2 linked regions of the Neodiprion lecontei genome follow. The protein of the gene in region 1 binds, or shares a complex with, the protein of each later gene. Links are inferred from orthologs where the notes say so. Each region holds a gene or a part of one and is shown in the gene's direction. Other genes may lie near its edges. The genes, in order: DNA replication complex GINS protein PSF3 and DNA replication licensing factor Mcm7.

Region 1 (12,020 bases):
TTTCTTCTCGCAAATGGTTGTATATAAATATATATATATATATATATTTTTTTTTTTAATTGTTACATGTCAGGACTGAATAATTTTTTTCTTCTCACAAACGTATCTCCAATGTCTGGCTCCCACGTATTTTTTTTTTTTTCTTTAATATCTCGAGAAACGACGATCGTATAAAAAAACGAATACGCGTGTAAAACAATTTTATTTTTTCATCGCATAAATTCACAAATGTCATACACGTAAGATATTATATTTCGAGTCTACATTTCCCAGTCTTATTATCGTTAATATTATCATTATTTCAATTATTGTTTCGTTTTTATTTTTTATTTTATACTATCGCGGTTGCCATATTATTGTAAAATTAAGTTACATCAACGCTATGATTTTTAAATCTCTGTAACTATTATGTATAATTATAAGTAATATATTTGATTATAATAATATTTCTTATTACTATCGTACACCTAAGTCATACATTATATTTCATATTACAACGTGTTTCTAGTCACATATATAGCTGAACAATACACTGGTATGCAGGAGACTTTCTGTTTCAACACAATACGTTACGATTCATAAAATTTTCTCACTGTTTAACATCGATACCGTTAATTGTTATTAATGCCGATAATTTTTTTTTTTTTGTTTTTTTTCTTTCCTCTCCATCTCTTTTTATTTACAACTTTCAACGAGCCGTTAGTAAATTGTTCGTAACAATGCGCCGCGAAACGCGATATACATGCATACGCAACACCGTTTGCATGTTTAAAAATACATGACGTGTATCGGCATAGACGAGGGAATTAGGAAGTGTTATTACCAACCGCGCTTCCCTATACCTATATATATATATATATATATATAAATATATACACATATATATATATATTTATATATAATTATAGTTACTCTGTATTAATTGAAAAAAACCAGAAAAAAAATAAATTTTTTTTTAATTAAAAAAAAAAAACCAAGTTGACGAAGAAAAAAACCGTAGCGTGAGAAATAAAGGACCTGCTAGTGCAGCTGCCGAGGTCAGGGTTTTCCTTATTAATACATATTGCATAGAGTTACGTAGCAAGAAAAAAAAAATAAAAAATAAAATACATAGGAGTATTGTTAAAAATAGAAATACGACAAAGACACAACCGAAGGTTTTGTAATAATCATTATTAAAAGAAGAGAAATAAGACATTGCCGCAGGGTCGGTCAGACTTGACGCGGCTCTTTTGGCTCCGAGTATTGCAGGTGCGAAGTGGTTGAGTGTAATTATAAGAGTGAAAATATACCCGGCATCACGATTCAAGGTTGCCTTCGTCTTGCTTCGTTTCCATGCGCCCTGATTTTGACAAAGGATTAAAAAAAAATTAAAAACAATCCAAAGCAATCCTCGAGTCCTTGACAGACGGGCATGTATTTTGCGTGAGGTTAGAATTGTAACTTGTGCGAAAGTTTGGCCTCCCCTGCGTTAATCTGTATCTTGTGCACAAGAAGATGGCAAAATTCAAGATCGATCTTGATACCGTATTTATGTATTGGTTATAGACGGTGTATATTGAAGCCGATGGGCAAAAACTACCGTTTTTTCAAATAATAATAACAATAATAACAATATTAATAATATTAATAATAATAATATAATGTACGGATAGTTTTAGACTAGCATACATATAATATAGACATTTTCTGGCTAGCATTTCGTATGTATACATTATGTGCACACATGTATATGCATATATTATACACACACACACATATAGGAACCGTACGTACCAAGAATAAGTTAATTACATCACACAAATACTGTTCTTCTGGTATCATGTCTACAAGTATGTGTGGATTCCTGTATTAATGCTGACCAGAGAATATCTTGCAGGTGTAAAGAAGGTTGAAAAGTTTTACCATCTTTTGAGATACGGTAATCGGCAATGTCTTAGATACTCTTTAATACGATAATTATGTCATTGAATATTCCTGCGTATTTCTAATTAACGAGTGATACACAAACAGAAAAATAGAAAAAAAATTTAAAAAAAAAAAACAGAACGAAAAGAAAGAAGAAGAAAACGAAAATTATTAAAAACAAAATGAATAATTAAATGAATGAAACAAAAAAGAAAAACTTATGCGGAATAATATTGTCGAGTTGCGAACATACATATAATATATATATATATATATATATATACTATATTATTATATATAATATGCGTGCAGGATTAATTGTATAACGTACTTTCACTTATTTCGGATGAAATATATAATAATATTAATAATGATAATAATGATAATGATAATAATAATAATAATGATAATAATATTAATGATAATACAGTAAATAAAAGTAAATACAGAAAAAAAGATGGAAAAAATGAAAAAAAAAAAAAAAAAATTCACAACAAAATTTAATTATAGTGTTACATCGTAATTATACATAATATGGTTAATCATTAATATACTGATTATAATATTGATAACGATAACACGACGAAGAAGAAGAAGACGAAGAGAAAGAAGAAAAAAAATGAATAATTATTATTAATTTGCGATTAACAACCTACCCTGAACACATATTTCATAATTCATTATCATAGTTTAATGACTATATAAATATATAAATATATATATATGTATAATTATAATTTTATGAAAGGGTGTTGTGTAAGATTCGAAATGTCTAAAAAGAAAATGTAACGAGGAGAGACACACGATACATATAATTGGAATACATAATTATATACACGCAAACCAACCGACATAAAGTAAAATATGTCTCATTATATATATAATTATTATGTAATAATTGTCCATACATCTTAAAATGTCGAAATAAACTAATATTAAAAATATCGCTAAATTATGCATAATTTATAGATCGTAATTACATATCCTCATTTCGTTTGTCGACCCATCTTATATTCCCCGTTTTTTTTTTATAAATGAATTTAATGGAAGAAAAACTTCCCATTGGTATTTTGGAAATTTATTAACAAAAAGCGTAAAATGAACAGCTTTGACAAGATTGGCTTACGATTAGCACATAAAGATCACGCATGTGATAGATCCATCAATATGTTGACTAAAGAATGTAAAAACCTTTATGGACCTGCGTGTGTTAACTGAAATTTTGATATTTTTGTGTAAAATAATTATCTGTGGAATAATTATTGTAGATATAATTATATCAAATTAAATTATTTTACACAAATAGTAAACTATTCCAGGGACATGGAAGTTTTATCCATTACTGACCGCGATACGCAGTTCCTGTTGGAAAATACACATCGAAAAGTGCTCAAGAAAATTTGCCAGCGGTATCCGTCTTTGTATTTTTTAGACAACGTTCGCAAATATCTATTGAGAATTTTTGCCGTCAGAATGTTTGAATATTCGCGCGGAATATGAATTCGATGTAAAGTGGTTGATGATAACGCTGTTTGTCATTTCGAATATTGGCGACACTGCTCGATCGAATGGTGGTAGTAAGTAAACCTGTGAGTGCATGGAGACTAGGGTATTGGTGCGCTACTCACTTCACTTACTGCTTACGGTGCGTTCGGAAATTAGCTGGCAGCTATAAAAACTCCTTAGGATAGAGGCGAAGCTACTCACGAACTCCGCAGCGCAAAATAGATAACTGATTTCTGTTAAAAGATTGTTGACAGTGCTGAGAACTAATTCACTCGTTTTGTCTTAAGAGCATATAGACGTGGACGAAGCCTGGTGTCCCCTTTCTTGTGAGTAGAAAACGGTATAGTGAGGGAATTAGTAATACTACAACGATGCGCTTCTGCCGTAGAAAGAGAGCGCATGTTGTATTACGACGTCCCTTTCTCTCACTGGCTCGGGGATACTTTTTCAACGTCGATGCTTCCACTATGTCTATATACTCCAAGGTTCCGTCCAGTAGCGCCTGACGTTAAGTCGGAATGCGGTAACGTACAGTAACGTACGCGCCGGAACAGCGAGGAACATTGTGCAAAATGTCGTTGTGTCATAGTTACATGCCAAATTACTTCTCGATCGATGATATTCTTTCCAGTCAAGAACGCGTGTCATGCAAGATCGAAGTCAAACTGCCAGGTCTCGGTGAGTTTATCAACGAAAACCTAACCTAACCTAACGCATCACATCAAGACGAAACGCTGCAATGACCTCGATGATTCTATCCGTTACATTGATATTCTGATGTCGAATTGATGCTGATGACTTGGATGTGGGTTTCATTCAGTTTCGTATTCTCTTTACCACCATGTTCTATGATTAATTTCTACAAATTTCGTTACTCTGTCATGACATAACCTGCGAACGAAATTGAAACCGGTCTTTCAGTGACGTTTATTTCGAATTATAGTCTGAAACACTGTTTTTTGTATTTATTAATCTCAATGTTATGTGTGTAGTGATGAAGGAATGTAGCAATCTAGATTTCATACATTTCATTTACTTAGTAATTTGAACACAGGCTACCTGGACGTGTCTTCGGAGTCGCCAGATCTGCAATCAGGAACAAAATTGGACCTCCCTCACTGGCTTGCGTACCCCATGAATTCTAGAACGCATCCATTCGTCAGTATAGAAGTTCCTAAAATATACAAGGAGGCATACCGGTAATTATATGAATGTGTTGGAATTATTTGAAAGAGTTCGTGAGCAGCTATCAGTACATGTAACAACTGACATATTCAATTCTGTTACACCATAGTGAAATTCTAACTGCAGACGCATGCGCGGTGGCTCTAAACAAGTGGAGTTGCTATTTCTATGAATTCGGAATTCACCTCGCTCAATACGAGCATAGCGATTGCAACCTTATTCAGGATCTACTATTGCAGGTAATTCTTTTGAACATCTTAATTATATCTCTCATAAAAATGCGTAGAGATTACACAGACAAATCTGAGAGAAAAGTTCACCGAAAATCTCTGGATAAGAAGGTAGAATTATTTACATTTTTTGAATAATTACTCAACTGCGAAGAGAAACACCTGCTCCCTGGGTAGAAATGCTCACTAAATTTTAATCTTGACCTCATTTGTCGCGGAAAATTTTACATCCTACTGTCGTGCGTAAAGTTGAGTTCTGAATATTATTCACTAGTGTTCATGCGTTTTCTCACGAATGAAGTTTTTTCCTGCAATCCTGATAAAAATATGCAGAGATGCTTACAAATTTGCATTGAAAAAGTGCACTTATAATCTATAAAGTTCGCAACAATTTCACAAAGATTTTTAGGCGTTGGTAATTCCTCGAGTCAAGTATTGTGAGTGGTATAACTCCTGTGACTGAAATGCACATAGATATTCGCCGAAAAATGGTGGACATGTGATGTTTTTTCCTTCATTTCTTTTGTCTCGAATTGATTCTCTAAGATAGTGACGTTTTGTTAAATTTTGTATTTGTTTTCTTTCATTATTTCTACGGCGATCGTTGCTTTTCAGGCGTTCAAATCGCGGTTCAGACTAGTAATGGACTGGGCTCATAATACAGGAACAGATCCGACGGTAGGATTGCAGCTTCCTATTCTGGAGAGAAAGTTGTTTTTAACAGGTAGAAAGTCTAGGTGTCTCTTGATTTCTTGGTTGAAGGAAGGCGGCGGTAGTATTGAGACATCGGAGATGGTAGCTAATCATAAGAAACGAAAACGAGCGGAGCTAGAGGATGAGAATACGTGATTTTGGGCAATTCTTAGATACTCTTACGCATTTATTACTCTGCTTTGCCGACAGTACTGTCTTGCAAGCTACTCGAATCGATGAAACTCTCCTGAAAACTGAATCGATGATCAAATTAAAGCTGGACTTTAGATAACTCCTTGTATAAAATTGAATCGTTTCTTGAATACTCGGGGTGAGGATGACGGGGTCAAAATTTGTTTTTATATGCATGAATAATTAGAGGTACACTCTTGCTGTTTTAGAATTGTACAATTATAACCCTTTATTTGAACAAGTGAAATAGATAGGTTTGAATAATTATCGCTATTACTAGGTAACAAATGTAAATATTCTCTTCCGTGATATTCTCCAACGAAATCAGTCAGATGATACAACTGCTAACGTTAGAAAAATCATAATGACAGTAATAATTGTAATAATAATAGTAATAATAATAATAATAATAATAACATTAATCACGCAACAAACAACAGGTTCATCATTTATCTCACAACCCATTGACTACGTAAGGTTAGAATGGAAAGAAAATAATCACTAATTATTCATTGATTTAATGAACAAACAAAAACTCGGAACGATTCTTGTAAGCAATTCTATTCGCATTTCATAACGGTCGAAGAGATATAATTTTTAAAAAAATCAACAACAACGAGAATGTGAGTTCACATAAGTTGTTTGTTTGTACAGAGAACGAAAGAATGAAATGTAAACAATATTAATTGAAAGCGAAAGATACGCTATATCTTCTATTCGGGCGTGTGCAATGTGACTTTTTTTTAGTTTGTTCATTTCTGAAAAATTTTTTATTTCTAGCTTGTTAAAAATATAGGAAAGTTTTATTTTTTATGCGTAAACCTCATTGTGGAGTAAAAAAAAAAAAAATATAATATTTTACTATTGCTTTGGGTTCGGTCGAGTTTCCACATCAAATTGTAATAAACTCTCTGAATTCTCATTGAAATTATTTTCTCTCTTTCTTCAGATTTTGAATAACGCTAACAATAATAATAATTATTATTATTATAACAATGACAGCAATAATATTAATGCTAACAGTTGTAATAGGAAATAACAAGTACAGGGCTGGTAGTCGGTCACTTTTCTCACTATTGTACACTTTTTTTTTTCACGGAGTCACTTTTTGTTATTTTTTCCAAGAAATGATCTTTCAGGTCATTTTCTCGTTCGTAATATTGAGTTTCGTGCAGAAAAAATTTTGTTGCACAATTTTTTTCTTACGTGATATCCGCTATGGACAAGATTCTGTTGTTTTTTTTTTTTAAGCGTTATAGTATTTTCAGGAGAAAAATTAGCTTCAGTTTTATTTTGGAAAATCAACTATGATAACATTGATCATTCTTTCTTTATCGAAATGTTTTGCCCGAAAGGACAATAAATTCGTAAATCAGAGTTATCGTTCACTTGTAACTCATTCACTCAATATCGTGTACAGTGATGCATTTTTTTTAATGCGGAAAAAGATGTCACGAACAATGAAAACCCGTATTCAGTGACATAAATGAAAATAGGGCTATTTCTGATGAAATGAATAAGACTGTGGCGACACTTTTCGCTTAATTGCTATATTTAATTATGATCGGTCACTATTTATTTGCTTTTTTTATGTCTGACAGTCGGTTTTTTTCACTTTCTTGAAACGACTTGAATACTACCAGCCCTGTAATTATTAATTGCAATAATTATGATCTTGGGGCAATAATAATATTTCAATTTCAAAATTACTGTAGACTGAATCTCCCTGTCTATATATAACATACACCAATATTTACGGTGTTACTATAACAAATTGCATTGCAATGGCTCACGTTACTCGTAAGTAAAATAAAAAAAAAAAATAAAAATAAAAAAAAATAACGCGTACTGCGCATAAATTACGTCGTCTTTAGTAAATTGACGCGTTTTTCATTTTACGATTGTACAAAATAATGTGTATACTATACACAGAATTTAATACCTAACGACAACGATATTTACAAGAAGTTTTTTCCTATTATTGATTTCGGAATGTATATAATTTTTTTTTTCCCATTCCATACGTCCTAAACTTCTATAATATTTTATTGTAAAATCTTTAATATATCTAAGTTTTATATAAAATATATTATTATATAAACCTTCTCGTCAGTTATAAAGTTACAGTTCTATTCACCCAAGGTAAAGTGGTAGTAAAATTTTTTTATTCGAGACAATTTTTAGCGACAAACCGGAAGCGAAAAATGAAAAAGCGAAACTTGTATTTAGAAAAAAAGGTTGTGGATAATACAGATAAAATTTGTAAATCGGTAAACGAAAAAAGAAACTCATTCTAACCCTTCGATCGTTTTAGTTTCCCTTCCTTTCTGTTGCATCTTTTCTTTGTAGCAATTTTTCATGCCCACCATTTGATTGTAAAAAATTCTGTAAGTTTCAAATTTTTTCATCCAGTCGTTTCCCGTATCGTCGCGAGAGTTTGCCGGACAGACCGACATTTTCTTTATACTGTTTTTCGAATTCTAGAGGTTCGAAAACGTAAAGATTCGTTGAATTTGAAAAAAGTGATTTGCGACCGAATCTAATACTTTTGCTACGTCACCAAAGGTCGCGAAAAGTAAAAAATATCGCTTTTGAGCAAAGTGTTATTTTGTAAGGAATAAATTTTTCTCTATTATACGCGTATACTTAGTAAACATGCGTAAATTGGCACTTGCAAGTTTACAAACTTAATCGTTAATTTATACCCTTAAACTATTGTCATTACAGTTGCATTGCTTACGAGCTTTCGTCATTACATATTCGATTATTAGTCTACCGTCCCTTTGTTCATTTTTGTTCTTGTTATTCGGACAAGTACTTCACTTAATTCACGCGATTTCTGTTTCTCCCACTCGAGTAATTGAGTTTATTATACTATGCAATTTACGTGTAAAGTTACTCAAATTTGAGTGTCTGATGTATATTTTTTTTTTTTTTTCGTTTTCTACCACTCAAAATTCCTACTCCGGAATTATTTCATAATGGTAATTAATCGTAAGATCGCACGTATAAGTTTTTCAATTTTTTCAATTATTTATTATGTATATGTTTAGATGTTTATTATATCTTATCACAAGTTTTACCTGCATTAATAAATTTCAATTAATGCTACGCGTGTATACTTACGAATATACACGCTTAGGTATTTTGTTTATCGTAGGTATATAAATAATGCCACATTGTTTTTTGTTTGTTTTTCTTTCAAATCTATCAACGATTTGTTTCTTGTATACAATAGTTTTCCGTATATCATTACTTTGATATAGAAATTATATATTGAGCAATTATCAAGGCACTGATCATCTATGGCTATATCGTTCACAATGGTGTATAAATATATACGCGGTATCAAAAACTCGCAGTGTTTTGGATATTTTCTATATAATCAGTCATCCTTCCGACTATATATACGTCATCGTTGCTCAGTTCCTCACACTGAACACTTATCGTCTAAAACGCAGCTTATCGTATTATACGCAATTCAGAGATTGGCAGGAAAAAATGGCGAAGTAAATTTTTTCTCGGTAATCGTATACCGAATTCAAATTGTCTTTGTCGTTTCAAAATTTCAATTTTTAAACAATCCGTGATTGATTCCTCTTTTATTACCGATCGATCAACATCATATCATTGTGTTCCGACTGGATATCACTCAAAGAATCATCATGCACAAAATTTTCTCGTCCGTTTCTGTAATTTCTAATTCCCGGCCCGATACCCCAAATACGATTAGTCCTCACTGTCGCGTCTTTGTCGATTTCGGATAATTACACCTTGCATCGAAATTTAAGGTCGATCGTGCACTACACATAATAATGAGCTTGCAGGAACGAATATGAGGAGGAGGAGGAGGAGGAGGAGGAGGATTTTCAGCAGGCCATCTCTTCCGGATAAATGGACGGAAGTTCATCGTCTAGTCAAAAACCCGGCGGTTCGGCCTCGAGGCTTGGCTCCTGTTTGAACATCCTGAAACCGGCGGCTGTTGTGTGTTCCTCGTTACTCATCGACGTGAGGTCCCTGAGCATCATGTCAGGCGGACTTCCGGCGGCTAGCATGTGGTCCTGGGGACTCAGGGGACCGGGATGAGCAGGGGTCAGCGGACTGCTCGGACTCTCGTTGCTGCTGACGTAGCTTCCGGGCGCGTTCGGTATCGGCAGAGACGCCGAGCCGTTGTTTTCGGCCGTGGCGCCGCCGAGCAGCATCTCCTGGAGGAGACTGTCGATGTGCGCGACTCCGAACAGCCTGACGAATTGTATCTGCTCGATCATTTGCCACGAGATCGACTGGAGGGCCGGTAACGTCAGGAGGATCTCGCCGAAACGACCTCGGCTGTCGTACTGACGGTCGCTTATGTAATCCTCGAGGTTTATCTGGATCTGGTAACGGAGATGCTTGATTCTGGCCGGCTCGCTAAGCCCTTTTGCGTCTGTGGAAAAGTCGTTTTACACTCTGTTATTTTAGTGAATCGTTTATACAACGGGGGAATGAATTTTGATGACGTTTAAGGATGTGTCAAACGTACGGCACAGTCGGTCCTCGACTGCGCATGCGCGAGGTAATTCAACTCTATTGGTCGGCGATATCGTACCGCGGCAATGTTTTCCTTACGCTAGACAGGGCAGCCAACATACTCGAAACGGGAAGACGCCAAACTCTCTCGCGTCAAGTAAGTTGCACTAACGGCGTTTTCAATTGGCTGCACTGACAAGGGAATTAGGGACCTCCGATGTCGCGGATCGGGTTCCCGTTTCCCGTGGTGAAAGTTCAAGACCTCCGAATTAACGCCGTTTTTGATTTTTGATCGAATATGCCTTGGTTGCTGAGATATCGCCATTTGAAAATTTGACATTTTTTGGCGGAGCGGGGGCCGTTTTGGCTCGCGCATGAAGTGCGTTAAGCGTGGGCGTGAACTCTTATCACAAAAACTGTTCCAGTCCAAAGTTGCGAAAACTATCGTCATTTCCCGAGGTTTGAAACGATACGTTACTCGGGTGAAGATGATGTCGTAGTGTAAAACGAGGCTTGCTTCCTTAGTCGATTTACATTATTATTTTTAAGATTGGATACTCACTCGGATCAAAGAACACTATGGCTTTGAGACAAGCGAATTCCGTGTCGTCGATTTGCACGTTGTGTAGAGGCTTGACAAGCTCTTCCATAATCCTAGTCCCGACTCTGCTTATGTCGAGGTCCTGGCTGCGTCCCTCTGTGGACAACAAGATTACTGACACAACGGTTATACCGTTCTTCTTAAAATCTAGACTGAGCCCGGCAATCATATTTTCAATCAAGTGCCTTCCTGTTACCACCGATGCATTGCGACAGGTAAATGTACAGGCATATCCATTATCCAGCAGAACCATATTCCACGACCATGCAACTCTAGGTGTATAATATAAACACAGAGAACAATTACGCCGGACTCAGTCGAACTAGCTACACCCCATTGCCGTGCATAATGATATATGAATATACGAATAAACTATCCCTAATGTTCGACGAAATTATGCAATACAATAAGAACCCGAATTGATTTGGTATAAATTGAAGCGTGTGTTAGTTCAGGGTAATTAGAGAAAAATCATCTCTTTTCAACACATGCTTGGAAAGTTGGATCAACAAAGCCTGTGGAGCGTGCGTAAAGTGCGGTAAAACGACGCTTGCGCATGCGTATATTAAAATTCACAATTTTACACACTAAGGTTTCCTTGGCGCATGCGCACCTTTCCCGATACGCGCCTCCGATGACGTAATTGGTCCGAGTTCAACCTGAAGTTGGCGCGCTTAGGTTAGGTTTCACGAAGCCGAGCCTATGCTTCTGGCCCCCTTAATTGTCCTTGGTCTACTTCTTCTGAATTCTCAAATTACATTAGTTTGCTTATCAATTCAAACTTTCCTTCACAGGTGTTGGTAAAGATGGCGTGTGTCACACGTGAGGATGGGTGTTATCCGACTCGCGTATTTACAGCGCTCGCTTTGCGGCTCACGCTGCTTACTTCACACTCGATGGAAATCGCCCATTTCCCACATTTGTAACATAATGTACTATTTTTGAATCTTTAAAGAAACTTCATTTCGAGGCCTTGACGTACTTTCATCCGCATTTGCATTACATATGGAGAAACGAATAATATGTTACAGTGGCGTGCAGTTTTGCATGCAGAGTTCATGCATTTTTATACTTCTATTTTCACAATTTAAATTCAATCAATCAATTCACTTCAAGCCAGACGTTTTATACCAGTGTACAATATTTATAGGTATTTTTAAATGTTGCAGACATTGCGACAGTTGAGATATTCTCGA
Region 2 (10,561 bases), on another chromosome or scaffold:
GTTATTGGTGGCATATTTATTACCGATTTCTTTTATAGATTTTGGGAAGCTGCACAGGAATTGAAAACCTTACCTCAGCGTGACGTTCAAGCTAGAGTTCAAGAAATTTGGGATGAGTATTTAGGTACTGATGCCAGCTGTCCGATTAACGTTGATTCAAGATCGTATGATTCCACTAAGAAGAACTTGGAACAGTCAGACAGATGGAGTTTCGACATCGCTGCTGTAACTATTTTCACACATACTATTACATTGTATTGTTTTCATGGCAGAATTCAGAGAAGATTATCGAAAATTAAGTCTAATCTGATTCAAACTTAACTACTACTATAAATTTATTACAATCCAAATCATGATTTTCTGCCACGTTCAACTTATCAAGTCACTATCAATAATCTGTCTATCCTCAATTTAACATTCTTGTTCCAATAATATTTCCATCAGCTGACGAAAAATATTAACACTCACTGTAACATTTTGTACTCAGGCTCACGTCTATCACCTGATGAAAAGTGATAGTTATTCGAGATATCTACGCTCGGAAATGTACAAAGATTTTCTCAACGGTTCCAAGAAAAAAGTAAGATTTCATTGTTTATATTCATGACTCACTGCCCATGTAGTTCATTGGTGTTACTTTCACCTTCTGTTTCAGACATCAGTAAAAGGTATTCGTTCCATTGTGTCGTTCACCGCTCGCAAGGATGCTACAGGATCTTAACTGATACATGTAATAATTTTTTGTGTAGTGCGATGTTTAAATTTTAAGTCTCCATTGACATTCGAGCTTATAGACTGAAGAACACGACGATGCATAGTAATTTTTTTCGTTTTGCATTACAGATAGGCTTTGAATTTGTTATACTACACCTGCTGGGTTGAAAAATTTGCAGGAGGGTGCTGCTGCAGTGGAATTTCAATGATATTCTTGATAATGCAATTCTGATATTTTCCTTATAGGGTGTCGGGAAAGGGGGGGAGGGGGGGAGGGGGATCATTATTGCCGAATGATGTGATATAATTATAAAACGGTGTTATTGTTATATGAATAAATGAAGTTGATGCCAGGAAGATTGAAATAGAAAGGAATAAGAAAATTACGAACCTGACAGAATATTCACTGATATAGTAATTTCGCCAATATGTACACTCATTCGCGTATCCAGTATACACATAGATTTGTACACACACTGGAGGTCTACACAACATTGAGGAAACCTAGCCCACTGCCGACAATTGCAAATATATATTTTTTGAGGTGTATGAATTCTATGGAAAAATATTTTATTGTGAGTTCAACTGTATTTTAATTAATTATTCATTATCGTTAAGAGGAGTTGGAAACTCGACCAGGACATTTGATAGATCGATTGATGTTCTTACTGTTCACAGAAGAACACAGCTACGTGAATATCGAATTGCAAAAGTCAAATTGTATAAATATATAGAAATGTACAACCCATGAGAAAATCAAATTATGCTCACCAGAGAGAGAAGCTGTTTTTCAAATTTAGAGTGCAAACATTAAGAAACAATCTTTCTAATTTCTAAGCATTTATATATAAATGTGGATGTATATAATTCGACATACAAGAAAAAAAGAAATTTTGATGACTCAACTTAAATACTGCAGCAAAACAAGAAAGACTTTAAGAAACATATAATATTAAACAATGAACTACAAATTTTTTCGCGATATTATTTAACAATAAGTCACAAAGCGCTACGCTGGACAGTGGCTGCGAACAGTCGACTGGAAAAAATATACTGATCACTTTTAATCCTCGGTAATATAGCCGGGTACTTAAAGTTGTTGTGATTATAGTTGCTGACTAGACAAATTGAATGTATGTATGATAGGCTGTAGAGTGTATAAACATTTACGTGTATAATCAAAGAATGCTCATGTGGCCGATACACATTAGAACATTTGTTATATTAAATATAATAAATGAATATAATACTATACAGCTATACACTTATTGTGCAGGAAACCTGCTTGCTTATACGGGCATATTACCAATTTCAAGGTGATACTGTACGTGTATAATTGCTTATCAACAATATTTATAGAAAAACGGCATCCGTATAGAAATATAATGCAATACGCAGGTATCCTGTGCATAACAATTATTATTGTTGATCTAGCTTGTCCATACCTGAGCTTGTTGATAGATATTTATATATACATATACCTAACAGTTGATTACGGTTTCATCCAATGTGGTAATCAACGGTGTATAAGCATCCGTGTGTATATAGTGTTAGTGAATATGGTTGTACAATTCCGTCTTAGAAACGACTAAAAACATTTGTTAGATTATCGTATATACATACGTATACCTGCACACATTAAAAAAGCACATTCCATGGTTATTTTCACATTTTTTGAGTGAAAAACAGCATACTTGTTTCATTATAATATCACGTTTTTGGTTTCAAACATGCCCTAGTATATTGAGCTGAATCAGCTGGATGTCATTTTTCTTACACGTAAACAAATTATGTATATACGATCGTGTCATTTTATTATTAGTCAGCTCAACAACACTTGCACGGAACGTAATGTAATGAACATGATCAATGTATTTTTTTGAACTTAGGGATAGTGTTGTGGAGAACTATTTGAATTTCAACTATGCGGCTATTGCTAAGCATTGCTAGATCAACATATGTGATGATTGTAATAGAATTCGTGAAAAAGTGATTATCCTGAACGGAATATCCTGAAAATATTAATCCTGAACGGAAAATCACTTTTTTTCCTCATGTAAGCGTAGTGTGAAAAGACATATAGGACTAGACGCGAAAGTTTATAAAAAGTATTTGCTGCCTGATTGGTTGCACGTTCTCGAGAGATCAGAGAATATATATATATTTATGAAGTAAAATGCATCCTGTGGTCAGAAGGCCCAAAGTCGACTGAATTATTTATTCAGTGTTCATCAAATCACGCACGTCAGCATATAACTAGTCTATATAATTAATAGCTTGAAGAACACGGTAAACTATATTTACAATTGTATATCAATCTTATTTGTGTCAAAGAAAAAGAAAAAAGAAAATACTGATCAAAGTTAAGGGGATATATCCATTATTGGGCATATGAAAATTCATTCAATTTGCTATTATTCTAGAAGAACAAAGATTGCCTGCATTCAAAGACGTATCTTTGTAGCCAATTGTTGAGTGTTCACTCGTTATTTAATTATTTTCTTCATTTTGATCACAATCACAAACTATAAAGTCAAATTTACTCTCACGCGACTACTGACTATCTACCTTTAAAAATCTTGTATGCATTTCGTATGATTTAATGGCGCTTTCAAATTGTCTACACTAAAATGGATGGATCCCCTTAAGGTAATAAAATACGTAAAGTAGTAATTTTATGATACGTCCTGCACCCGGGATATCGGAATTGAATGTGCGATGCAATATAATACGGGTCGATAATGATTTTATAAATATGATGTCTAAAATGTGTATTTTGAACTTAAGAACTATTGTCTAGTGTAATTAGGAATATAACTTATTTCCATTTTTTCTGAATTATTCCTCGTGAATCTTAAGAGGCAGAATTAGGATATTAATCAATTAGGACAGTTTAAGGATAATAATTATTACTCCAATGATCCTGTTATGCACAAAAATCCGTGACTACTGAATAAGTTAAGATCTAAAACAGTCTCAAAACCTACACAGAAGTATCAATACCTTTAGATATTATCATCCCGTTGCACCCATACTAGGATCATTTATTATATGGAGAAATTTTATCGGAAAGTAATTGTTTTCTTTTTGTTGCATTAAGAATTGAACAACTAATGTATTCACAACTGAGCACTTCAAAAATGGGGGCTAACATTGAACAGTCTGTAGCTACTATTCGCGGGCATGTATCCCGATTAATAAAGCGGTTACAATAAACAATGGTTTGTTTTATCCAGCGATATACATATATACACAAACACAATTATAATTTCATTATATTTATTATAACTAACATCATAAATCGACAAATAGTTTTTTAAATAAAACTTTACTTTTGCTCAAATCTCGTGTATAATTTTTGTATCAACTAGAGGTCCACAAAAAGCGTTGTAATTACTTACCCTGTGCCTAGTTTATTTTTTTGTACCAAAATTTATCACGTGAATGCATTTCTTGCTTCCGTGTTTCAGAAACGGCATTTACTGCAATGAGATGAGATGTCAATTGTAAAAGATAGAATAACACGTAAAATGATTGAAGAAACTATAGAGCTGGTACAGCACGCAAGTAATATGACTGTTATTGTTAAAAAAGTAAATCGAGGACGTTTATGATTTGCAATATGCCAACAAAGTTGAACGTTCAGTAGAATGGCTAATACTTTCTTCTAACACGGTTATTCGATCTTAAGTATGTTACACACATACCATTCACATGCCTTTAGTCAGCATAAAGTTACCTCTAATCAAAACCCGCGCCCAAACTCTGCCAGCGACAGTGGGGCCTCTAGCGCACTTTCACATGCACCTACTTTTTGCGATTGCGCGGCAAATATGGCGGGAAAACTTCGCCGGCGTCAGTTGTTCCCAACGTGCTGCTGTGTTTAGTCGAAGTCCAGTTGTTTCATCACTTTAACTTTGGCGGTTGATTATTGTCGGTGGTAAACCAAGTCAAGAGTAAAAATGCCTACGAAAGTAAATAGAGACTACACAAAAGACAAAGGTGAGCTGCTTAAACCAATTAGTAATTTAACCCTGTAGTTTATTGATCAATTGATAATTCGATAACCTCAAACGTAGTGTTGTTATTTTCCAAGCTGCATTTGAAGCACTCGCAGTTCTGACTATTAGTTAAAATCGATTAGCGAAGAGAGTCAGTCAACGGCATTGTGTTGAGCCGTGCAACAAGGAAACTGAGATAAAAGTTCAAATTTAAAAAACAGTCAAAATTCCCTAAGAAGGCTTACAGGGTTGTCGTATGGGAACAATCTCTCCTCGTTGTTATTCTTGACAGTTGAATCTGTTCAGGGATCTGATGTCTTCGTAAAGTCAATTGCATATTGATTTTAATTACTCAGTTAACTTGTTCGCTGTTGCTTGTTGCACAGTAGAATGACCGCCGGATCTCTCCTTTCCCAGCTGACTTGTTTAATACATATATCAAGTCTCTGACGGTGACACACACTGGCAGCATAATTGATACTATAATGGTTGGTTTACAGTTGGATTGTTCACCGAGTTTTGCAAGTTGGTTCATTTTGGAAGTTCCAACAAATTGTATAATATTCACTAATAGTTTATCACTAACAGTGTAATGATACTGAAGCAATTTCTCAGTCGTTCTGGTTCTTGTGTTTTATTGTGTTGACTAAAAAATCTCAAGAAGAAATTTTATGTGGAATGAATCCAAGCAATTAAACTAGGAAGTCCCCACAAAGTCTTCTTTCAGAATCTTAGATGTTTCAACGATTGTCGATGAAGTTTGTAAGAATTCCAGTTCGTCTCTTTTAAGAACACCTACAGAGAGAGAAGATTTGCTGATTTTGATGAATTTTTATCCAACAAATTCATAATAAAATGTATTAATTTTTTTTGCAACTCACATAGGGCTAAAATACAATTTCTAACAGATATAAGAAAATTCCAATAAAAAAATACTAATTTGTCTTTCCAGATAAATGCTGTTACACTAGATTAACTAGTGTCATACATTCCTAAAGTTAATTATTGTTACCGAAGATCAATTTTGTTGACTTGGAATTTTTTGTCTTTAGTCTGTGAATGATTGAAGACAAAGCTTTGAGCGAAAAACAAACTATTTCGCTGAGAGATTAACTACTGGGTGGCCACTGGTCAGGGAAAACTGGAATGTCAGAGAATTTTTCAATTAGTTGGAGAATTTTGTGTGGCATGGAAAGAAAAAGAATAAAGCTTCCCTCACGAAGAACCTAAATTCTAAGAACAAATTTTTCTCATGTGCTCAGTTCCATGACCATTAAATAAATCATAAACATATTTTTGAATACTGATTGATTGGGAGCTTTATTTATTAGATACTCGAATTGACCCTAATAGTTCAGATTTTAGTCAGGGAAAAATTATAATTTGGTCAGGAAAAGTTTGAGAAAAGTCACAGAATTTTTTTGACTATCTTTGGTAGCTGCCATGAACTATGAATAAAATCACAAATAAATAATAAAACTTGGAAAAATTACATTCACAAAAGAAATTGCAAATAACTTAACCACTCTATAGGTACCTCGTGTGTATCTTGTAGTTTTCAATAGCAATAGATCACGATGATTTAAAAAACCTCTGGCGGTGGGGTATCGAAAACCAAACTCATTGGAACCTCTGCTGTGTGATCTCGGTGTAACTTGTGCACAATAACTGGTGGTATGGTATATATGGTATATATATAATATGGTTTAGAAATAAGCTTGCGTCGTCATCGACATAACTTAAATGGTTTTAATCAAAGTTATTAGATTCAGCCACTCACATTAACTCCCAACTTTAACTGTATAACGGAATTAGAATTGATATTTGTTAAGGTGATGCACAAGGGTCTGAACAGTTTGAAATGCTTCCTTCAGGTAGTATAAACTGAAATTGTGTCATGGACTGAATGCGGCAATAATCCATTATCTCTATTTTGACATTAAGTAATTTTCACCAATACTGAGTGACTCACACCAAGTACCTGATCTTTGTTACAGAACAGCTCAAGCAGTTCTTTGCCGAGTATGCGAAAATGGATGATAAATCAGGCGATAAGACGTTTAAATATCGCACTCAACTCACCAATATTGCTCATAGAGAGCAAGTTGCATTTATCATTGAACTTGACGACGTCGCTGAATTTGATGACGAATTGGCTGAAGCTATACAATATAATACTCGTCGTTATACTACATTAGTATCAGAGGTACAATGAGAGAAGAGTAATCATTGAAAGCATTTCTCTTATTTTTGACAGAAAACTGTTAGTAATTTTCAAAGCTTGTAGCTGCTATTTGTCAAGTCAACTTATAAAATTGAACAGAGCCTTCAGAAAACTAATACCCAATTTCACCTTGGAAGTCCGCACTTTGTTTATACAGAAACAATTTGTGTCATTCTGTGTCAGATGGGATGAAAATTCGTAATATTAATATGCAACAATAGATTTTTCAGAAAAATCTCTATTAAACAGTATAAAATTGTTCAAAATTTAGTAAAACGATATGATGCAAAACATAATCACATTTTTCAAATGCAAACCCTTCAGTTTAATTCCTAAGTTACAAAATGATGTTTTTCAATGTTACGAATTTCAATCTCATCCTTTAGATAGTCCAGGAAATGTTACCCGACTTTAAAGAAAGAGTCGTACCACCTAAAGATTCATTGGATGTTTATATTGAGCATCGTTTGTTGATGGAGCAACGCAACAGACATCCTGGAGATCAGAGGGACCCAAGAAACAATTATCCACCAGAGCTCATGCGACGATTGTGAGTAATGCATTGATCTAACAACTGTAATATCTATAATTTTTCACCACTTAAGTAGGGAAACGGTCATTATATTTGTTGGTGTCTCAAGAATCATAGTTCGTGAAATAATTCTGTTTGTTTTCTGTGTGTTCACAGTTGTATCCTATTTCGATAGGTTTATTTAATACGTAAATTTCTTTAGTATTTTCTTAGTAGCCTGCTTCTTAGTTGAAATTTATTTTGTTCTTGAGTAGAAGTACGTACTACACACTACCAATCGAGTATCACTTATTTGCTCCAAATACAATGACTTCAATTCAACGATTTTGATTTAGTTAGTTTGTCAAAATAATTTAGTCAAGCGAATTCCTTGATTCGACAAAATTCTTTCTTGTCGCGATCGAATGAAATATTGATTCGAGTGAACCTTTTAATGTTTTACCGAAATTGAGTCAACTAAATATCATTTCATTTGAAGTTTACGTATTGTTCCTCCAAGTCACATGTTTGTTGACAAAAACAATTAAGTACTTCAAATAAAATGAGTACATGAATCTAGCCAACAAAAAATTTACATCAATTAATGCTGTACTTTGTTGATCTAACCGGAGCTTGTTTGGTGTAACTAGTTGGATCAGTTGCAATAATTTTTTTACTAGGTAAAACAAACACCACATACTTTAAAATAAGTAGAGAATATATTCATCGTAAACATCAGTATACTAGTACGATAAACAGCCACTAGGTGGTGAACTTTCTCAGTACGGAAGTAGCTTCAGAGATAGTTATAAAACCGGGTAGTTGGCTAAGAAGTTTGATACGGATAATGGAAGAGAAATTTATCATCAGAGGTATTAAAACATTTGAGAGCACAATGTCAAGTTTAGTGTTGACATTCTATGTCGGTTTCGGCAAATACCTTTTTTGACATTCGTACCCTAGAGACAATATTGTGTACTCAATCATTCTCATACATAAAAATATAAGTAATCCAAAGCTACTGGAAATTACGCGTAACATCAATCACAAAGAATGTTTGATGCTGCTGGTAATGATACAGGTTGTCAGGATTAACATCATATCCGATACAAAACACACTTATTTTAAGACAAACGCTGAAAACCCTGTAGGATCAACCCAGAGAAGTTGAATTGAGTCTACGTAATGCCTCCCTGAAAATCAACTAACTTTTACTTTTCCATAAATTTCCTGTACATTTATTACGTTTCCATCGATTGAAATAGAAATCCTATCTGTACATATCCATCTCTTTTCAGCGAAGTTTACTTCAGAGATTTCGGAGCATCTAAAGCTTTACCGGTTAGAGACATAAAAGCTGAGCACATTGGCAAATTAGTCACAGTAAGGGGTATCGTTACCCGATCCACAGAGGTTAAACCGATGATGGTCGTTGCCACTTATACTTGTGATCAATGCGGGGCAGAAACATACCAACCGGTAGGGAAAAATCATGCCGGTTCATTTTGCACAAAAGCCCCATAGGGAGCTATTCGATTTTATTTATCGTCATCTGTGGCGATTAGCAACTAATCCGAACATAGGGTTCATTGTGCATTTTCCGCACATTTAGTAAGTACTGCGAACAGCTACGACTCGCTTTTTATGCTGTAGCTCCCAATGGGGACGTTGCTCGAAATGTTCTGGTACATATAATATCGAATAGATAATTGGACTTACAATTAATGACTTTCTAAAAAGTACAGTTATTATTACTTCGCTACTCAATGTGCAGGTACTTTCGCTAAGCTTCATGCCCTTGCAATTCTGTGGAAGCGACGATTGCCGGGTCAATAAATCTGGAGGAAGGTTATCTTTGCAAACAAGAGGTTCCAAGTTCATTAAGTTTCAGGAGATCAAGATTCAAGAACATGTAAGCTCAAGTAGTCAATAGTGTAGTCAGATAATCTCTGAATAAAAGATAGAATCCTACTTGCATATTATATTGCAGAGTGATCAAGTACCTGTTGGTCATATTCCAAGATCGTTGACGATCTTCTGCCGCGGTGAAATGACAAGGCAATGTCAGCCTGGAGATCATGTAACTATTACTGGAATATTTTTACCTTTACTGAGATCAGGATTCAGGCAAATGATATCTGGACTACTGAGCGAAACTTTCTTAGAGGCACACGTAAGAATATTCTTTCATTTTGTACGAAACTCTGTAATTATTCGTGACAATTACTCTATACTTTATTCTTATACTGGAACAAGAAAATTGTACTCGATGTATAGGTAGAATTACCCTTATCGGATGAGTTCGGAAAATGTTTCGATCTCTATCGCCAAGTCTGATAAACAAAAATCAACTTATATTCATAAGAATACTATAATTGGTTACGAATAAAAAACAACCTTATTCCTCACAGACGACATTTCATGTCAAAGAATTTGGAGATAGTTAAATTTCACTAGCCACTGTTCAATTTCAGAGAGTTATTGGCATCAATCAAATAGATGCCGAGAATGACGCCTCTAACGAATTAACACCCGAAGAATTAGAACTGTTAACTGACGATGGATTTTATGATAAACTGGCGTGTTCTTTGGCGCCAGAAATTTACGGGCATGAGGACATCAAGAAAGCTTTGTTGTTACTTCTTGTTGGTGGTGTTGATAATAAATCCAATGATATGAAAATCAGAGGTATGAAATTTTTTTTTATCAATTCTCATCGCCACAGTAACCTTAACCAATCAGTTCAATAAAATTATCCTCTGTATAAAAAACCCGAAATTTATCGAAACGCGTATTTCCAAGTAAAAACGAGTCAGTTGATTAAATAAAATTCGAAAAGAACCAAGGCTCTACTTGTATTCAATGTAACGTTTACTAAATGGTAATGGTTGTTGAAAGAGAATTTATTATCGTGAATAAGAAGTTTCTTCTCTTCAAGCACTGTGTATAAGGAGGACTATAATGTGTAGATGTTGTGTTTACCCTTTTGAATCCTTGCTTTCGATGAGAAGCCACGTAAGACAAGCAATGCCGTCTAATGAATGATATGCAGATGTGCAAATCATTTTTCTACGAGAAGAATATTGTTGAAAGAAACACAGGAAAACAAAT

The links.
Region 2: DNA replication complex GINS protein PSF3 (region 1) and DNA replication licensing factor Mcm7 share a complex: the UniProt entries of both Homo sapiens proteins name them as parts of the CMG helicase complex. The link is inferred for Neodiprion lecontei from reciprocal best matches to the Homo sapiens genes GINS3 and MCM7.

Annotation. Positions count from the first base shown.
Region 1 is NC_060260.1:39,845,767-39,857,786, reverse strand, and holds DNA replication complex GINS protein PSF3, read left to right. Parts: upstream 1-3,899; 5' UTR 3,900-3,986; coding exon 3,987-4,092; intron 4,093-4,468; coding exon 4,469-4,613; intron 4,614-4,708; coding exon 4,709-4,838; intron 4,839-5,444; coding exon 5,445-5,678; 3' UTR 5,679-8,221; downstream 8,222-12,020. Other genes in the region: hepatocyte nuclear factor 4-gamma, read right to left, coding at 9,632-10,140, 10,786-10,938. UniProt on the Homo sapiens protein: Required for correct functioning of the GINS complex, a complex that plays an essential role in the initiation of DNA replication, and progression of DNA replication forks.
Region 2 is NC_060261.1:14,198,472-14,209,032, forward strand, and holds the start of DNA replication licensing factor Mcm7, read left to right. Parts: upstream 1-4,390; 5' UTR 4,391-4,676; coding exon 4,677-4,716; intron 4,717-5,182; exon of another isoform or gene 5,183-5,203; intron 5,204-6,712; coding exon 6,713-6,921; intron 6,922-7,325; coding exon 7,326-7,489; intron 7,490-8,748; coding exon 8,749-8,929; intron 8,930-9,224; coding exon 9,225-9,362; intron 9,363-9,440; coding exon 9,441-9,623; intron 9,624-9,924; coding exon 9,925-10,138; intron 10,139-10,561. Other genes in the region: regulator of G-protein signaling 7, read left to right, coding at 39-225, 488-580, 656-721. UniProt on the Homo sapiens protein: Acts as a component of the MCM2-7 complex (MCM complex) which is the replicative helicase essential for 'once per cell cycle' DNA replication initiation and elongation in eukaryotic cells.